Linked DNA regions of Stegostoma tigrinum. The protein of the gene in region 1 binds, or shares a complex with, the protein of each later gene. Links are inferred from orthologs where the notes say so. Each region holds a gene or a part of one and is shown on either strand. Other genes may lie near its edges.

Region 1 (10,011 bases):
ACTCCTAAGTTGGAGAAATTACAGATTGACAATGGATATCTACAGGGTAATCACACTTTAAAGTGCAAACAACCACAGTAAATGGCCTGTATCCTTAACGTATCTAGTAAGTGGCACCTCTGAAGTCAATTTCCATGTCAAATGACAAATGGTTAGTAGCAATTGCATAAGTTTGGATAGGATGGTAGCAACCATTTTCTGCTACATTATCACTGATGAGATTACTATCAAATATACATTTACTCAACATAAACTGGGCAGTAGTTTAATAAAGACAGTGTTAGTGCAACATCTAGACTTATCAGTATATTTGTAAAATCAAGAATTAACAGCTTCCAATTACCACTGCTCGTAAATTCTATTTCAGACACTGAAAGTAAAGTGTCTGCTGAGAAAATCATTCCTGGATTTTCGCTTTCATTCTCCTGAAATTGAGTTGAATTTACCTCCATCTAGTACATGGATTTTTTTTTCCTCTGTAGAAGTTCCTGTAGGTTAATAACTATTATATTCCTCTCTTCCTGGTTTGTTATCACCTGCTGGTATATTAAACCTTTCAAATGCTAATGTGAATACATATAAATAATTTGTTGACTGGCAGAGAAATTTAAACTGCTGCACACAATAATTCCAGATTAAAATTTACCAAAATTGCAATATAATTGCAACTTGTTTAAAGAGTTGCTATCCTGGGCCACTTGTCAAAGCGTCTCTATCAACACCGTTTGATATCAATAAACTGAGTAAAAAGACTTCTTTTCACTCAATCACATGTGATAGAAAACTAGACAGAGTCCACAAAATGATTTTCTTGGCAACACCAGCAAGTAATTCTTGCTTCTTCAGACAAGATGTATTTGCATTCAAAGGTGGTTAATCTCTTAAAATTGTACGTTTCTACTTGTTATCTGGAACCACTGTTCTACGAATTTTGCCAGCACATTCCTGGAGTTTTTCCTCCAGATTTGTCAGTCCAATCTTAAACAATTTTGAATCATTGTTTTAGAGGTGATTTTCTGGTCCTACCCCCCTCATTTTATTTATCATCAAATGACTGGAAGATGAGGGTGTAAAACTATCATTCGATGCATGTCTTAAAAACTGTGGTATCTCAAGATAATCTTGCCTTTCGAAGTCACACCAATTCACTTGTCCTAAAAATATCAAAATGTGTTAAAATTTGACAGGAATACCAACTGATAACGCAACAAGCTTAATACATACATCTGGCCACATGCTTTCAATTTGTGATCTATGAACTTGACTTACACTAAGTGGAAAAGGAGCCAGTTAAGTCTTAAAATTTCCTATTTTGTACACTAAATATTAGCTCATACTTGCTGTCACTTTTAAGCTCAAAAACATTTAGGAATAGATTGTCACTATTTGATAGCTGACAGTCTTCTAATAGAAAGCAAGTCAATGGTATTGCAGCTTTTGTCTTTCAAGAAATGTGATAATTAATATATCTAGCAGATTCTCATGTCACTGCTCACTATGAACAGAATGACCTATAGTCAGGATTATACCATGTTCCAGACAAGGCACAGCTAAAATGGAGCAATATGCATCCAGCATGCCCTGAGATGTTAGAAACATTATTTAAACTGAACAGCATTTAAAGAACCGATTCACTATATTTAGCTCCAAAGATTAGCAGTTGTGCAAATCCTTTGCACCACTGGAAGTGAAATATTTTCACTTTCTTTTAAAAGGCAGTAAAACAACTTAACTAATTTAGAGAACAAAATCCCTTCTAAAAATCCTCTTTTGTAAGATGTTAGCACCACTGGCAAAGTATCTACCAAGCATCTCTGATTATCCTTGGAACAAATGGCTTGCTGGGCCTTTCAGAGTACTGAAATGCTAACTACATCACTGTAGATGTGGAGACACATTTGCCATCCTTACCCTGGTCTGGCCCACATTTTCTCTTCTAAAAAAAGTACTAGTAAACCAAGATAATAAAATGTGAGGCTGGATGAACACAGCAGGCCAAGCAGCATCTCAGGAGCACAAAAGCTTTTGTGCTCCTGAGATGCTGCTTGGCCTGCTGTGTTCATCCAGCCTCACATTTTATTATCTTGGATTCTCCAGCATCTGCAGTTCCCATTATCTCTGATACTAGTAAACCAAGCAGTGTTTTACAAGATTGAAGTGTGGTCTTGTAGTATCCACAGCGTGGCTTAATTCCAAATTTGTCTGTTGAATTTAAATCCCACCAGCTACCGGGGCAGTTCCCCTGAGCAGCAGTCTGTGACCCCCTGAATTACCGCTCCAGTTACATCACCACTATGTCACTTTTCCCAAGCCTCCAAAAATTATTTACATATATTCATAACTGAATAGTTAATTCAAATATCCCAATGTAAGATTAACAAGATCCTGAAGCAGGATTGGACCAGTTACAATAAATTGTAATGATACAAAAGGGAAAGAAAATGTTAGCTGTTAATCAGAACTCGAAACCATATCTCCTGAGTGCAAACTGATTTGCAGCCCCATAGCCACACCATCTATACATGGACCCAGCTACTGTTATCTCTGTTAACATCCCCAAGTGCAATGATGTACTCAATGCTCACCTAGCAACTTATATCTAACCAAATTCAGTGCAACCAAAATTCTGGCTGCCATTATCCTAGCAATTCGTCACCATACATCATCCTAATCCCCGATACTGTAAACCCATTTTCAGGGCCCAAAATATCAAATAAGATAGTAGGAACTGCAGATGCTGGAGAATCTGAGATAACAAGGTGTAGAAGTGGATGAACACAGCAGGCACTCCTTCAAAATGCCTTAACACACCAGACCAAAGTTTCCAATCCTCCCTAATAATCTCTAGATAGAGGCTACAAGCTGCCCAGGATGGACATGCTATGCAGGGGGTGGGGTGCAAGTGGTTTGCGACTGGAAGGTGTTGTGGTCTGTTGTAAACCGAGCGCGACAAACAACAACCCCTTCCAGTCGCAAACCACTTCACCTCCCCAACCGACTCCCTGGACGGCATGTCCATCCTAGCCCTCCTCCAGCGTCACAACACCACCACCACCACCCAGAAACTGGAGGAGCAGCACCTCATATTCCACCTTGGGAGACTGCCACTCAATGGCCTCAACGTGACCTTTACTGGCTTCAAAATCTCCCCATCCCCTGTCTCGTCCCAAGACCAACCCACCCCTCTCATCTTTGCCTCCTTGATCTGAGACAACCTGTTCGTCTGGTCTCCCACCTATCTGCTCCTCCCACCTCACTGACCAATCCCCATCACTGCCTAGCTGCACTCACCTACCTTCCCCAGCCCAAACGCCACCTTTATTTTACAACCCCCTTCCCCTCCATTTTTGGAGAAGGGTCCTGACTAGAAACGTCAGGTTTTCCTTCCTCTGATGCTGCCTGGGCTGCTGTGACCCTCCAGCTCCACAACTATCATCTCAGACTTCAGCATCGGAAGTTTTACCATCTTTCCAACAGTGTAGTCGAGAACTACATCCAACTGTAGTCTAACTAGAGTTATACAGTTGAAGCATAATCTCCCAGTTTATGCTTGATACCCTGGTTTAGAAAGGCAAGTACCCATATGTGGCCTTGACCACTTTATCTGTCAGGGACCTGTGCAGACTCCCAATACTTTTATTTTCTTCTACACTTTCAAGTACCCTTTCACGTAGTGTGTAAACAGGGAGTATGTGGGAACAGCGTACTGAAAAAAATGCTGGTGATCACAGCAGGTCAGGCAGCATCCATGGAGATAGCAAGCTAACAGTACAAGTCCAGATAACTCTTCAGAGTACAGTGTGGGATCATTCGCCATTGTTCTACAGGTCACTCACCCAGAAACATTAACTGGCAGACCTGCTGAGCTTTTCCAGCAACTTCTGTTTTTGTTCCTGATTTACTGCATCTGCAGTTCTTTCAGTTTTTATTTTGTAATGGAACAGCCACAATGGGCAGAAGGGTCTCTTCCTGTTCTGTGGATCTCTATGACTACTGTACAGAGCAAGCTCAAGGAACTCTGACCTACTCATGCTCATATTTTCTTTTCTGGGTACTTCCTTGTGGTGTCAGCTTTTCCTAAAATCATTAACTCACTTGTACCCCTACATCTACATTGTGGGCCAGTGGTTAGTACTGCTGCCTCACAACGCCAGGTATCCAGGTTCGATTCCACCCTCAAACGACTGTCCGTGTGGAGTTTGCACGTTCTCGTGTCTGCATGGATTTCCTCGGTTTCCTCCCACAGTCCAATGTCACGTAGGCTAGGTGGACTGCCCAGGCTAAGTTGCCCATACTGTTCAGGGATGTGTAGATTGGGTGGATTATAGGGGGATGGTGTGGACTTGTTGGGCCAAAGGGCCTGTTTCCACACTGTAGGGATTCAATGATGATAGTGATTTACACATTAGCCAAACGTTTGTTATTATTGCAGATCACAACTTGCTGCCTTGTATTAATACTAATAGAAATAGCTTAAGACACAAGATACAGTAGGTTTATAAAAGAACAATGACCACATGTACTCCTAACCTGAATGTGCGACGTTAACTGGTTCCAAGTACAAGCCATGAGAAACAGACTAGGAACTGTGTTTCCTAAACGCAATGTGTCAATTTCATTGAAAACAGAAATTTGCCATACGAATTTACAACAGTGTCTGGGATGGCAACCGAAACTTGTCAGGTGATTTCAGCTCAGCCTCTGGAATAGCTCCACGTGTTGAATAAACATACCGCTCCGAACGTAACAAAGGTGGAATTTCGAATAAAAAAAGTTACCAAAACGGGTGCCAAAGTAAGGCATCCTGAAGGAAAGGAAATTCACGAACGTAATTGGGGAAAAAAGAAAACAAGATACTCCAGAAGAAATTTTTACAGTAAGAGAATGAAATACTTTTTTTTCACGTGCAGTTCCAAAAAGGGGTTAATCTTGCAGTGTTTTAGCGGCATGGTTTAAAAAGAATTCGCAAAATCCCGGCCTAAATGCCTTAATTGCTGGGCGTTATCATAACTGGTGGAAGGAGACCGGGAATTAAGGGTTGTGAAGGTTAACAAGTTATGCAGCTTTCCTTCCCGTCTTTGAAAAGAAAATGCAGGTCCTGGTCCGCCATCTTAACCTCGCACGGCAGCACAAGACATAAAACGCAACGGGGGGGGGGGGGGTGTTGTAGACTAAAAAACACTTCTGCGAAAGGTAAATCACTACGAACTGCTACTACAACCCGATACTTCAGTTTCCACCTCCCCTTTCAGTGCCCCTCCACCACCCCTCCGCGCCAACAACTTCAACTGAATCCGGCCTACCTGCTCCGCATTTCCTTCGCCAGACATTGTATGATTTTTAAATAAAAATATTGATTTAAAAACCACCAAACTAATTTACGCGGGTAAATGTCGTTCAAGTACGTGCAGAGCTGGCCCTGTCAAACTAAAAATCCCACTTTTCTCTCTTTTTCCCTCCCTTTAAACTCAACAATGCTCCAAACCCTTCCTATCACCACCTCCTCCTCCTCCACCAGCGCTGCCTCAGCGCTTCACAAAATGGCGGCGATCGGCCAACGAAAGCGCAGCCGTTGGCGCGGAGGCGCATGCGCATTATCCATTCGCTCTCCTGCTCTGTCGTTAGCTTTGCGCTCACGCTCGACCTAATCATCTTCACGCGATAGGGAAAATGAATTGTTGGAAATAGTCTCGGTATACTATTGAATAGATTATATTTTTGATTAGAGGTCATAAAAGGTTAAGTTAATCAGAAACTGCCTTCCGATCATATGGGGCACAGTGATAAAGGGAAGGAACAGGAAATTCCAGAGGATTTGAGGCAACTTTTTTTCACCCCCCCGCCAGGTTGGTGGGTGTCTGAAACTCACCGCCTGAAAGGGTAGTAGAAGCGAGAACCCACAGGATATTTGAGAAATGTTTGGAAAATACTTGAAACATTATAGTATACACGGCTATGGGCCAAGAGTTGGAAAAGAAGCGTCCCGACCCGAAGCGTCAACTTTCCTGTTCCTGGCCCACTGTGTTCCTCCAGCTTCACACTGTGCTATCTTAGAACAGCTGGGAGTTAGATAACTGGTGCAAACTGATTTAGGGCTTTATCTCATGCTGTAAAAACACTGAAACCATAAAATAAAATTCAAAGACAGTGAAAGTGCTGGAGAAACTCACGTTTGGTAACATCTAAATAAAAGCCGAAAGAACTGTGGATGCTGTAAATCAGAAACAAAAACAAACTGCTAGAAAATCTCAGGGATAATGGGAACTGCAGATGCTGGAGAATCCGCGATAAGAAGGTGTGGAGCTGGATGAAGGGTCTAGGCCCAAAACGTTGGCTTTCCTGCTCCTAAGATGCTGCTTGGCCTGCTGTGTTCATCCAGCTCCACCCCTGTTATCTTGCTAAAAAAGCTCAGCAGGTTTGGCGGCATCTGTGGAGAGAAATCAGAGTTAACGTTTAGGATTTTCAGAACTGAATTGATTCCGATTTCTCTCTACAGATGCTTCCAGGCCTGGTGAGCTTTTCCAGCAATTTCTTATGTTTGTTTCTGGTAGCATCTGATTGGTAGAGGGGCAAGGTGCACAGTGGCTCAGTGTTTAGCATAGCTACCTTACTGTGCCAGGGACACTGGTGTGATTCAACCCTTGGGCAACTGCACAATCTCCCTATGTCTGTGGGGGTTTCCTCCAGATACTACAGTTCCCTCCCATAGTCCAAAGATGTACAACTTAGGTGAAATTGCCATGCTAAATTGCCCATCGTTTCCAGGATGTGCAGGCTAGATGGATTAGCCAATATAAATGCAGGGTTACAGTGATAGGATCGGGGGGGGGGGGGGGGTGTCTGAGTCTGAGTGGTATGTTCTTTGTAGGGTTGATGTGGACTTGATGGCTTGCTTCGGAGCAAATTACTGCAGATGGTAGAATCTGTACTGAAAACAAAAAAAATGCTGGAGATCACAGCAGAGATAATGGGAACTGCAGATGCTGGAGAATCCAAGACAAGACAATAAAGTGTGAAGCTGGATGAACACAGCAGGCCAAGCAGCATCTCAGGAGCACAAAAGCTGACGTTTCGGGCCTAGACCCTTCATCAGAGCGGGGAATGGGTGAGGGTTCTGGAATAATTAGGGAGAGAGGAGGAGGTGGACCGAAGATGGTGAGAAAAGAAGATAGGTGGAGAGGAGAGTGTGGGGGGGGAGGTAGGGAGGGGATAGGTCAGTCCAGGGAAGACGGACAGGTCAAGGAGGTGGGATGAGGTTAGTAGGTAGGAAATGGAGGTGTGGCTTGGGGTGGGAGGAAGGGATGGGTGAGAGGAAGAACAGGTTAAGGAGGCCGAGACAGGCTGGGCTGGTTTTGGGATGCAGTGGGGGAGGGGATGAGCTGGGCTGGTTGTGTGATGCAGTGGGGGGAGGGGACCAACGGGGCTGGTTTTGGGATGCGGTGGGGGAAGGGGAGATTTTGAAGCTGGTGAAGTCCACATTGATACCATTGGGCTGCAAGGTTCCCAAGTGGAATATGAGTTGCTGTACCATTGGGCTGCATGTATCATGGGCTTCCTGCAGTGCCACAATGATGCCACCCGAAGGTTGCAGGAACAGCAACTCATATTCCGCTTGGGAACCCTGCAGCCCAAAGGTATCAATGTGGACTTCACCAGCTTCTAAATCTCCCCTTCCCTCACTGCATCCCAAAACCAGCCCAGCTCTTCCCTCCACCCACTGCATCCCAAAACCAGCCCAACCTGTCTCTGCCTCCCTAACCTATTCTTCCTCTCACCCATCCCTTCCTCCCACCCCAAGCTGCACCTCCATTTCCTACCTACTAACCTCATCCCACCTCCTTGACCTGTCCGTCTTCCCTGGACTGACCTATCCCCTCCCTACCTCCCCACCTATACTCTCCTCTCCACCTATCTTTTCTCTCCATCTTCGGTCTGCCTCCCCCTCTCTCCCTATTTATTCCAGAACCCTCACCCCACCCCCCCTCTCGGATGAACAGTCTAGGCCCGAAACGCCAGCTTTTGTGCTCCTGAGATGCTGCTTGACCTGCTGTGTTCATCCAGCTTCATACTTTATTATCTTGGAGATCACAGGTCAGGCAGCTTCCATGGAGAGGAAGCAAGCTAACATGTTGTGTCTAAATGACTGTTCACCAGAGCTAATGTGAAGTGTGATGACAGTCGCATTTATGCAGTAGTGGGGAACAGGGGTAGTGCTGGGGACAAAGGATGTTGATAGCTCAGATTAAGTTATTGGAATGTGAGAAAAGGAGAACAATAGTGTGTCTAATTGCAAGATTGAAAAGAACAGACAGTTCCACTAGGGTTGGGGTGGGGGGGGGGAGGGAAGAGACAACATGGTTGTAGAGAATGTAAAAGTAAAGCTAAAAGCAAGGAATGGGAGTGGGTGCATTGTTTGCAAGTATTGAACTCAATATTAAGTCCAAAAGATTGTAACGTACCTAGTCTGACAATGAGATATTGTTCCACCAGTTTGCTCTGTGATTCACTAAAGCATTCAAGATCTGTGGCTGGAAAACAGTAAACAGTCAGATATCACTCTTCACTTTATATTTTTATTTGAAGCATCTGCATTCTTAACCTTTTAAAAGTTATAGAGTCATACAGCACGGAAACAGACCCATCAGTCCAAATTGTCCAGCCTATAGCAGGTGAGGACCTAGAAACAATCATTATCACTAAGGAGGCAGTGCTGGGCAAGCTAATGGGGCTAAAGGTAGACAAGTCTCCTGGCCCTGATGAAATGCATCCCAGGGTATTAAAAGAAGTGATGGGGGAAATAGCAAATGCACTAGTAATTATATACCAAAATTCACTGGACTCTGGGGTAGTTCCCGCAGATTGGAAAACAGCTAATGTGATGCCACTGTTTAAAAAAAGGAAGTAGACAAAAAGCAGATAACTGTAGGCCAGTTAGCTTAACTTCGGTAGGGGGGAAGATGCTTGAATCTATCATTAAGGAAGAAATAGCAAGACATCTGGATACAAATTCTCCCATTGGGAACACCCAGCATGCGTTCATTAAGGTCATGTTTAACTAATTTTGTAGAATTCTTTGAGGACATTACTTACGCGGTGGACAATGGGAAACCTGTGGATGTCGTGTATCTGGATTTCCAGAAGGCATTTGACAAGGTGCCACACCAAAGGCTACTACATAAGATAAAGTTGCATGGTATTACAGGTAGTGTATTGGCATGGATAGAGGATTGGTTGACTAAGAAAGCAAAGAGTAGGGGCAAATATGTGTTTTTCCGGTTGGCGGTCAGTGGCTAGTGGTGTGCCTCAGAGATCAGTGTTGGGACCACAATCGTTTACAATTTACATGGATGATTTGGAGTTGGTGACCAAGTGTGGAGTGTCAAAATATGCAGATGACACTAAGATGAGTGGGAGAGCAAAGTGTGCAGAAGACACTGGAAGTCTGCAGCAGGAAATAAATAGTCTAAGTGAGTGAGCAAAGGTCTGGCAGATGGAATACAATGTTGATAAGTGTGAGGTCATCCATTTTGGTAGAAATAACAGCAAAATGGATTATGTTTTAAATGGTAAAAAATTGCAACATGCTGCTTTGCAGAGGTACTTGAGTGTCCTTGCGCATGAATTGCTAAAAGTAGGATTGTAGGTGCAGCAGGTAATTAAAAAGGCAAATGGAATTTTGTCTGTTATTGCTAGAGGGATGGAATTGAAAAACAGGGAGTCTATGCTGCAGCTGTATAGGGTGCTGGTGAGGCCACATCCGGAGTACTTGCAGTTTTGGCCACATATGGACTACCTGCATTTTGGTCTCCTTACTTGACAAGGGACATACTAGCACTGAAGGGGGTGCAGAGGAGATGCACTCAGTTGATTCCAGAGTTGAGAGGGTTGGATTATGAGGAGAGACTGAGTAGACTGGGTTTGGAATTCAGAAGAATGAGGGGAGATCTTATAGAAACATAGAAGATTATGAAGGGAATAGATAAGGTGGAGGCAGGGATGTTGTTTCCATTA
Region 2 (10,305 bases), on another chromosome or scaffold:
GTTTTTTAAAAAAAACTTCCCAATCCTCTGGCTTCCTACTAATCTTCACTACATTGCATGCTTTTTCTTTGCTTCTTTGCTGTCCCTGACTTCTCTTATCAGCCCTCGTTGGCTCGTACTCCCCTTAGCATGTTAGTTTTACCACTACAGGCTGTACACTTTTTTCTCATCAGCCATGGTCTGATAGGACAGCCACACTTGTTTGAATTTAAAACTAATAAGATATTCATTGATATATACAAATAGGTTAGGTTGTGTAATTTCTCCATGAAATCGCTCTAGCATGTTTTCTAATGGAGGTATATTACCTATTGTACCATTTCTAACAGTGGTGGACACATTAACCCGTGGCAGAGTGAGCATTTGGCTTTTTGCTGTTTTGAAATTGTATCCCACTTCTGCACATTTTCTTTCAAGATCAAATGGAGTTTATGTCCATACTGCTACTCATCATGTCATATCTTTTATATGTTAACCATCTGATGGCCTGTGGTTGGGGTAGTTCACTGCACTGATCTTCCTTTCTTATTGAGTATAAGGGCCTGCGTATTTATCGGTAGTGGAGGAAAGACCTCTGTTCTCTATAGTCTTAATAAGATTAGGCAATTATTACAACAATCAGAAACTATGTATATCACATTTGACTTATTTGGTAATTTGTGCAAAACTAACTTTCTCTATTCAAAGACTTTGTAATAACATTAGATTGCGCGAAGCTCATGCAACTTAAACATTAGCTCTCAAAACCAGTAACTTGTACAAGTACAACCTCTATCCAGCACATTAATATTCTCTTTAACTAATACTATCACCCTTCGCCTTTTCCTTTCCTACATTTGCTGAATGCCTTGCACTGCTACCTTTTTTGAGCCAAGTCTATTTATCACCAATATGTCATATTCCTATGTGAGTACCTGAGCCTACAGCTCATGAACCTTGCTTATTATGGCTTGTGCCCTTGCAAACATGCAATGTAAAGCTGAGACATTTGCATTGTCATAGCTTGACTTCAGCTCATACCTTAATTTTTTCTTTCAGTTCCATCTATCTCTTCCAACCATTTGCATAACTTGTTTTTTTTATAATAAGAAAACATCCTGGTTATCTTTCCCTGTCAAGTTAGCAAACTGCTGCATGAGAATATACCAAATAACAGACAAATGTGTGAATGTACAGATGGTGCAGAAGGGAGGTTTTTACATTCCTGAGTCATTGGGACCTGTTTTGGGGGAGGTATAATATACTGAAGCCAACAATTCACACTTCATCAGAGTCCTAGTTCATTATTACCACAACTCATCTTCCCTGGTATTGTGTCTAGATACCTGTCAGGATTCTCTGTTGAATGTTCCTCTAAACATTTAATATTCTAAGAATACTTGTTTCCTTTTCTAGAGAGTATTTTAATGTATCCCTTAAACAGGATGTTCAAAAAGATTAATAGTTCTTCATTTATGGAATTGCTGTACTTTTGCCTTATTTCTTTATGTTTTTATCTTGTACCTAGGTACCTTTGTACCTAAGATAATAAAATGTGAGGCTGGATGAACACAACAGGCCAAGCAGCATCTCAGGAGCACAAAAGCTGACGTTTCGGGCCTAGACCCTTCATTATCTTGGATTCTCCAGCATCTGCAGTTCCCATTATCTCTGATACCTTTGTACCTAAGATGGTGCAGTGAATGGCGACTTTATACAATTTTCACCATACTCCAGTACTTGAGTACATATGGCAATAAACCTAATTCTAATTATTTTTTGATATTGTTGCCTTCAAAAATAACCTGTATCATTTAAGAACACTGTTTCTGACAGGTATTTTTGTTTATTCGTTAAATGGAATTTACAGATGTCTGGAGACTCTTGTGTTCACAATTAGTGGTTTGATATGTTTATACTGGGGCTCAATATTCACATACAGAGTAAAATACTGATCTCTCAGTTCCATGCGATGTAGTCTGGTAACCTCCAACCTCAGCTGTTCCAGAGTTTTCGAGGAAGTGAAGTTCATCTCCTTTTCCCCTGTGTAATCTGGATCCTCTGGATAAAGTTCATCACCAGGATACAAAATCGCATAGCCATCAGAAGCAAGGAAACGGATCGGAAGCCATCGCTCACAGCCTTCCAATGCCCGATAATGGCAAAACTGTTGCAGATCTTGGAAATGGGGTAATTGGCATAGTCTGCCCAGTTCATACCACTGTGGGGGAGCGATGTAAAGTTTCCCCAAATTACAGCTTTCAATAAAATCAGATGGGGACATCCAGTTGTAGGAAATAGTTTCATGGCCATCTTGCATTGTGAAAGGAATCTCTTGCAAACAACAGATGAAGAATACAGTATCAAAACGTTTTCTCTCCATATACGTGGGTGTTAACCAATTACTCCACTCCTTCAATGCCCAAATATTTGGTACACAGTCCAGCTGTTTGCAAAGTTCTACAAAATTTGCTGCATTTTTCCGTACAAGCTGGTTCCAATTTGCAAGTTCCTTTTGATCGTACTGTGGAAGCTTTATGGCCCCTTGGCTGCTCAAACATGTTTCAGAGGCATTTGGCTTCACAAGTAGAATCCCTGATTCTTCAAAGGTTTCCCTTATAGCACAAATACGGAAAGCTACTTCTCCAGGGATTTCTGATCCTAGATTTCTCCTGTCCATTGCAAGAATTGGAGGTCTCTTGGAGGTTTGCTTGACTGTACCTAGTTTAAAGTTGGGTGGCTTGCAAAAGGGCTGAAACATCTGAATCCACTCACTGGAAAAATCAGATGAACTGACTGTACCTCCAGGGAACACCTGAGCATGAGGCATGAAACTGCTTTTTGCACTCCGTTGTAACATAAGTACAGCATAATCAAAGACAGGCATCTCCAACCATGAGTGAATTACATTTGTCTCTTGTTTAGACACTGAATGTGGAGGCTGACAAGCCTGTGTACTGGTGGAACCTTTGTCCACAAAGCAATTTCGAATACCTGAAGTTAAGATGACAGTGGCTGCTTCTTTCCAATACTTTAAGTCTCGGTTCATCTTTGCTGCAAAAAGGTACAATCTATTAATTTATTAGTTGTTGCTGGCTCTGTACAGCTCTTACAGCTCATTAGCAACCCCAATGCCATCTTGCTCAAACCAGCCCCCCCCCAGCAATCTCTAATACTGGGGGCTCACATCTTCCCCAAAGAACTTTTAAAAAAACAGCAGATTCACTAGAAAGCTTGTAGACCTTGTTAAGCATAAAAAACCCCAGGCCTACATCATATAAGATCCCCACTGAACACACTGCCCATAACGCCACGTGGTCAACTTTGCAAGATCCCCCAATCCCAAGCAAAATAATACACAGTAATTGTGCTAGTGGGAATTTGATCACTGAATTGGATTTCAACTCTTGGACTCAGATATAACCCTTCTTCAGATATTGCCTGGCTTGCTGTGTTCTTCCAGCTTTGTCTGCAAAGCTGAGGTGAGAGTAACAGCCTTTGACATCCAAGCCGCATTTAACCAAGTGTGGCATCAAGGAGCCCTAGCAAAATTGGAATCAATAGATATCAGGGGAATAGCTCTCTGCTGCTTAGAGTCATACCTGGCACAAAGAAAAAGGTCGTGATTGTTGGAAGGCAGTGCATTGTAAATCACCCTCTTTGATTCCACTCGTTCTGCAATGTCACAATCTTTCTCACTTGACATTGTGGCAACCTTATTACGAGATTGCCTGGAGCCCGAAAGAAAGAAGAACCTCTAGCTTACCTGTTTCAACAAAGTTACCAGGAATTGGATTATAGCCATCGAGGCCGAGGTAAATATTGAACATTTTTTAAAAAAAACTTGTTTCTTTGTGAACCACAAGGATAGCTCCTCTGGACTTCTACAGAGGCCTTGGGTTTCGTCATGCGATTTTTCCCAAATACCTCTCACCATCAATGAAATCACCCTCCTCAATCAAACCCACCACTCTGCTCCCACAAACCCTACCGCAATTATTCAGATAAACTCAACCCCCAAGCCACCATTAGCCCACTCAGTTCATTTCACCACATCCGTGTTTCCCTCTTCAATGCCCCCCACACTCTATGACAGCCAGCAGCCGTACTCCCGAGTGCCCAGCCCCTTAACACGACTGAAATAACAAGGTGTAGAGCTGGATGAACACTGCAGGCCAAGCACCATCACAGCAGGAAAGCTGACATTTCGGGCCTAAAGGGGAGGGGTGGCCGGGGCTCTCCTTTCCCTGGGTCGGGGTTTTATCTTACCGTGCCCACCCTTCCTTGTAGTTTGTATGTAAAAGGAAGCGGGTGCAATGTTGGGGTTATATACCCTACCGGCTGAAGTGCTGACACTGATTCCAACTCTTCGCCCGTTACGCGTGACACGTTTTGTTTACGCTTTGTTACGAGGTTGGTTCCAGATCACAGTTGCGTTAAGTTTCCGAAGCTGACAACCTGTCTTCAGCGGCTGTGCACAGATCCGGAACATGAGCAAAAACAGCGATGCTGCTCTTGAGCTCGCACGGACACGTCCAAGTTTACCTCACCGAGTGCGCCGGCGCACGGTCCCAGGCACGCCGCTTCCGCTGCTCGCTCAAACTCTGCGTTGCCCATGCGCACAGCGAATGCGTGCCACTCGCTCAGGGGAAACAGTAACTCATTCAGCGTCTATGGAGAAAAGGTAGAGTTAACATTTTGGGCCCAGTTGAGCCCTCCTCAAAACCCAGGAATTTTGGGTTGGTGAGGTAGATATAAAGAATTTGTAGACACCATAAAAAATCTGCACATGCTGGAATCCAAGGTAGACAAACAGGAGGCTGGAAGAACACAGCAAGCCCGGCAGCATCTGGAGGAAAGGAGCAGTCAACTTTTCAGATATAACCCTTCTTCGGATATTGCCTGGCTTGCTGTGTTCTTCCAGCTTTGTCTGCAAAGCTGAGGTGAGAGTAACAGCCTTTGACATCCAAGCCGCATTTAACCAAGTGTGGCATCAAGGAGCCCTAGCAAAATTGGAATCAATAGATATCAGGGGAAAAGCTCTCTGCTGCTTAGAGTAATACCCAGCACAAAGAAAGAGGTCATGATTGTTGGAAGTCAATTATTGTCAGCCCTAGTACATCTCTGCGGGAGTTCCTCAGGATAGTGCCCTAGGCCCAACTATCTTCAGCTGCTTCATCAATGACATTCCCTCCATCATAAAATCAGAAGTGGGGATGTTCGCTGATAATTGCACAGTGTTCAGCACTATTCACAACTTCTCTGATACTGAAGCAGTCTGTGTTCAAATGAAACAAGTCCTGTACAATATCTAGGCTTGGGCTGACAAGTGGCAAGTAACATGATTTAGATTTAGATTTTATTATCATGTGTACTGAAATACAGTGAAAATCTTTGTTTACAAGCGGTACAGACAAATCACGGCAAGCAAAGGAATGTACAGATGAAAAACACTTAGAGGCATACAAGTTACATTGCCAGGTTCATTATTTGGGGCTACAGTCCATTCAACAGTCTGATAGTGGGCGGAAAAAAAAGCTGGACTGTGCTGTGCACATCACCTTCAGTAGTTTCCTACAGTCCAGGGCAGATCAGTTGCCAGACCAGGCTGTTTTGCACATAGTATGCTTTCGATGGTGCATCTGTAGAAGTTGGTGAGGGACCTTATGAACATGCCAATTTTCCTGAGCTGAGTGAGGAAGAAGAAGTATCGTTGTGCTTTCTTGACTGCCACATCTACATGGAAAGTCCAGGACAGACTGTCAGTTACCATCACTCTAAGGAACTTGATTCTTCACACTGTCAATCTCAGTTCCGATGATGTAGTTGGGGGGCATGTTCTCCTACTTTCTTTCTGAAGTTGATTTCAGTTCTTTAGCTTTGCCGATGTTGAGAGACAGATTGTTTCCATTGTACCGACACACCAAGAAGAGAATCTAACGACTGCCCCTTTACATTCAATGGTGTTACCATCATTGAATTCCCCCACTATCAACATACAAGGGGGTACTATTGACCAGAAACTCAACTGGACTTTCCACATAAACACAGTGGCTACAAGAGCAGGTCAGATGCTTGGAATACTGCGGTGAATACTGCAGGAGTAGGCAATTCAGCCCATGAGCCTGCTCTTTTAATACATGGCTGATCTCATGTAGGCCTCAACTCCACTTTCCCACTTGCTCTCTGTAACCTTTCAACCAATTACTAATTAAAAATCAGTGTATCTTCTCCTTAAATTTGCTCAATGTTCTGGCATCCACCACTGTCTGGGGATGGTGAATTTCACCTACTCCCACTGTCTCCTACTCCCAAAGCCTGTCCAATGTCTCCAAGGCACAAGTCAGGAATCTGATGGAATGCTCCCCACTTGCCTGGGTGGTGCAGCTCCAACAACACTCAAGAAGCTTGGTACCATACAGGAAAAAAGAACAGTCCACTTGATTGGCACTATATCCATTCTGTCCACCATTGATGCTCAGTAGCAGCAATGTGTACGATCTACAAGACACACCACAGAAATTCACCAAAAATCCTCAGATAGCACCCTTCAAACCCACAAGCATTTCCATCTAGAAGGACAAAACAACAGATACCCGGGAGCATCATTACCTTCAAGTTCCCCTCCAAGCCACTCACTATCCTAACTTGGAAGTGTATTGCTGTTCCTTCATTGTCGTTGGATCAAAATGCTCGAATTTTCTCCCTAATAGTATTGTGGGTCAACACACAGCAGGTGGACTGCAGCGGTTCGAGAAGGCAGCTCACCACTACCTTTTCAAGGGCTGGTAGAGATGGCAATAAATACTGGCTAATTGGCAACGTCCACATCCCACAAATGAATAAATAAACATACAAACAGCCCATCTCTGAGCTGGCATGCTACACACTACCAAACATTACTCCATCTGTGGGTCAGGATGACCATGCTGCAAGAATAGAAAGAGTTGCAGCTAGCATTACAACAGGATAATATTTATAATAAAAGAATTAAATTTCCTATCCAGTTGCCTTAAATGTAGATACAAAATTGGGGTTGTCCCTTTTTCACTTTCCATTTTGTCTCTGTGAAGTTCAATGCTCGCATAATAATTTACAATCTTTAGAGATTCTGAGTTGCTTTTTGACATTAGGGAAACCAGGTACCTTGACAAAGTCTGAGCAAAGGAAGGGCGACTAAAAGCTGACTTGAAGAAATGGGGTTCAAGCAGGGACTCAAAGTAGAGGAAGCTGGTAGAGCAGCAGGTAAGCAGCTGAAGACACAGCATTAATTGAAGGGAGATGCACAAATGGCTGAAATAAGAAGGGTAGTGGGGAGGCTGTACGGCTGGAGGAGCAGTCCTACAAAAGTCGACAAGCACAAAATAGTCAAACAACAACCTTACATAGTCATGTTCATGGAATCATATCCAGAGGACAATGTCCCAAATACCATCATCCCTTGGTATGCCCAGTCCCACTGACAGGACAGAACCATCATAGATGGTGGCACAGTGGTATACAGTCAGGATAGAGTTGTCCTTGGAGTCTTCAGCATTGATTCCAAAGTAGTCTTTTGGCATCATGCCAAACATGTGAAGGTAATCTGCTGTTTGCCATCCATGATGCCACCCACCCCTCCAGCCCCCTCTGCACCCAAAAAAAGGCTGGTGAATGAGTTCTCCATGTTGGAGGAGGCACCAAGGGATTCAGGGCAACAGAATGATGGGAAACTTCAATATCCATCAACGAGCATGGCTCTGTAGCACAAATACTGACCCAGTCCTAAAGATCATAGTCTGTAGACTGGGCCTGTGTCAGTTGGTGAGGGAACCAACAAAAAGAAAAGATGTACTTTGACCTCATCCTCAATAATCACAAGAACTAGAAGCAGGAGTCGGCAATTCAGCCCATGAGCCTGCTCTTTTAATACATGGCTGATCTCATGTAGGCCTCAACTCCACTTTCCCACTTGCTCTCTGTAACCTTTCAACCAATTACTAATTAAAAATCAGTGTATCTTCTCCTTAAATTTGCTCAATGTTCTGGCATCCACCACTGTCTGGGGATGGTGAATTTCACAAATTCACAACCCTTTGAGAGAAGTCATTTCTCCAACTGCAGCAGATGCATTTGTCATAGAGGTATACAGCCCTTCAGTCCAACTGGTCCGTACCAACCATGTTTCAAAATTAAACCAGTCCCACCTGCCTGCAAATAGCCCATATCCCTGTAAACATTTCCTATTCATATACTTATCCAAATGTCTTTTAAACGTTGTAACTGTACTTCCACCCACCACTTTCTCTGGCAATTCACTCCACATACTAACCACTCTCTGTGTAGAGAAGTTGTTTATTGTGCCCATTTTAAATCTTTCTACTGTCACCTTAAAAATATGCCCCCACCTTAGGGAAAATACCTTTGCTATTCACCTTATGTATGCCCCTCATGTTTTATAAATCTCTCACCCCTCAACCTCTCACACTACAGTGAAAAAAATTCTAGCCTATCCAGCATTTCCTATAACTCAAGCCCTCCATTCCTGGCATCATCCTGGTAAATCTTTTCTGAATCCTCTCCAATTTAGTAATATTCCTCCTATAACAGAGTCACCAGAGCTGCACACAGTACTCCAGAACAGACCTTACCAATGTGCTGTACAACTCAAACATGAAATCTGAACTCCTAAACTCAAAGGTCTGAGCATTGAGAGGAGGCATGCTAAACACTTTCTTAACCATCCTTTCTACCTGTGACACAAATTTCAAACAATTATGTACTTGAACCCCTAGGACTCTTGGTTGTATACCACTACTCTGCCATTAATTTTCTAAGTCCTGCCTTTGTTTGTTTCACCAATATGTAATACCTTGCATTTATACAAATTAAACTCCATCTGCCACTCCACAGCCCATTGTACCAATTCATCAAGATCTCTTTGTAATCTTAGATAACCTTCCTCATTGTTCATTATACTGCCAATTTTGGTGCCATCCGTAAACTTACTAACCAGGCCTCCTGTATTCTCATTTGTATCATTTATATTAATGATAAACAAAAGTGGACCCAATGGAGACAGTAAGGACTGCAGATGCTGGAAGCTAGAGTCAATAAATGTGGGCCTGGAAAAGCACAGCAGGTGAAACAGCGTCTGATGAGCAGGAGAGTCAATGATGAAGGGTTTCGGCCAAAATGTTGACTTTCCTGCTCCTCAGATGCCGTCTGACTGGCTATGGTTTTCCAGCTCCACATTTATTGACAGAAGTAGACCCGATACCAATCCCTGTGGAACACTGCTGCTCACTGGCCTCTAGTCCAAAAACAACCCTCCACCACCACCAACTGTCTCCTGCCATAAAGCCAATTTTGCATCCAATTGGCAAGCTCACCTTGAATCTCATGTGATGCAACTTTACTTATTAGTCTATCATGAAGAATCTTATCAAAAGCTTTATTAAAGATCAACTAAACAACATCTACTGCTCTGGTCTCATAAATCTTTTTGGTTACTTCCTCAAAAAACTGAATCAGGTTTGTGAGACACAATTTCCCTTGCACAAAAAGAAGTGACTCTTGAACACACCTTGTGGAGATGAAGTCATGCTATCACACTAAGTACCACGTCCATTGTGTTGTTTGGCATTACTACTGTGTAGAATAGAATAGATTTTGAACAGATTTAGAAATTCAAGACTGGACATCCAGAAGGTGCTGTGGACCATCAGCAGCAGCAGAACTGTATTCAACTACAATTTATAAACTTACGATCCAGTGTATTACCCACTCAACCATGACCAATAAGACAGCAGATCAACCCTACAGTCAATAACTGTGCAGGAGGCCAAGCTGGGAACAGCATCAGGCATACCTAAAATACAGTCTCAACCTGGTGAAACTACTACTCAGGACTTTGTACATGCAAAGCAGTGTAAGCACATGAGATAGATAGAGCTGAGTGATCCTGTAACCAGTGAATGAGAACTAAGCTGTGCAGTCCTCCAACAATCTTTGGTGAATGGTGGTGGACAATCAGTCAATTCACTCAAGGAGCAAACTCCACAAATATCCCCACTTTCAATAACGGGGGGAGGCCAACACATCAATGCTGGAAGAAAAAGACAACACTGAAACCCAGAAAGCATCTTCAGCCAGAAGTGTCAAAGTGATTTTCCATTTGGGCCTCCTTCTGAGGTCCCCAGAATCATGGATGACAACCTTCAACTCATTCAATTCACTCCACATGATATCAAGAAACAGGCGAAGGCATTGGATACTGCAAAAGCTATGGGCCTTGATAACATTGAAGACTTATGTGCCAAAACTGGCCACACCCCTTGCTAAGCC

What was found.
Region 2: the proteins of cstf3 (region 1) and cstf1 are in contact, whole or in part, in a crystal structure (PDB 6B3X), measured with the Homo sapiens proteins. The link is inferred for Stegostoma tigrinum from reciprocal best matches to the Homo sapiens genes CSTF3 and CSTF1. Residues at the interface, in NP_001317.1 of Homo sapiens: Tyr581, Pro582, Lys583, Pro584, Asp585, Thr586, Gln588, Met589, Ile590, Pro591, Phe592, Pro594; in NP_001028693.1 of Homo sapiens: Arg118, Glu216, Ala217, His226, Pro227, Ser228, Asp230, Phe231, Thr240, Arg242, Leu243, Tyr244, Cys251, Phe252, Val253, Ser254, Cys255, Tyr270, Ser272, Ser273, Ala274, Asn275, Gly291, Val292, Ser293, Asn294.

The regions. Positions count from the first base shown.
Region 1 is NC_081370.1:44,177,371-44,187,381, forward strand, and holds the start of cstf3 (cleavage stimulation factor subunit 3), read right to left. Parts: upstream 4,641-10,011; 5' UTR 4,570-4,640; coding exon 4,531-4,569; intron 1-4,530. UniProt on the Homo sapiens protein: One of the multiple factors required for polyadenylation and 3'-end cleavage of mammalian pre-mRNAs.
Region 2 is NC_081372.1:55,104,385-55,114,689, forward strand, and holds the start of cstf1 (cleavage stimulation factor subunit 1), read right to left. Parts: upstream 4,627-10,305; 5' UTR 4,318-4,626; exon of another isoform or gene 4,249-4,317; intron 3,034-4,248; exon of another isoform or gene 3,029-3,033; coding exon of another isoform or gene 1,844-3,028; exon of another isoform or gene 1,817-1,843; intron 1-1,816. Other genes in the region: acyl-coenzyme A diphosphatase NUDT19-like, read right to left, coding at 1,844-3,028. UniProt on the Homo sapiens protein: One of the multiple factors required for polyadenylation and 3'-end cleavage of mammalian pre-mRNAs. May be responsible for the interaction of CSTF with other factors to form a stable complex on the pre-mRNA.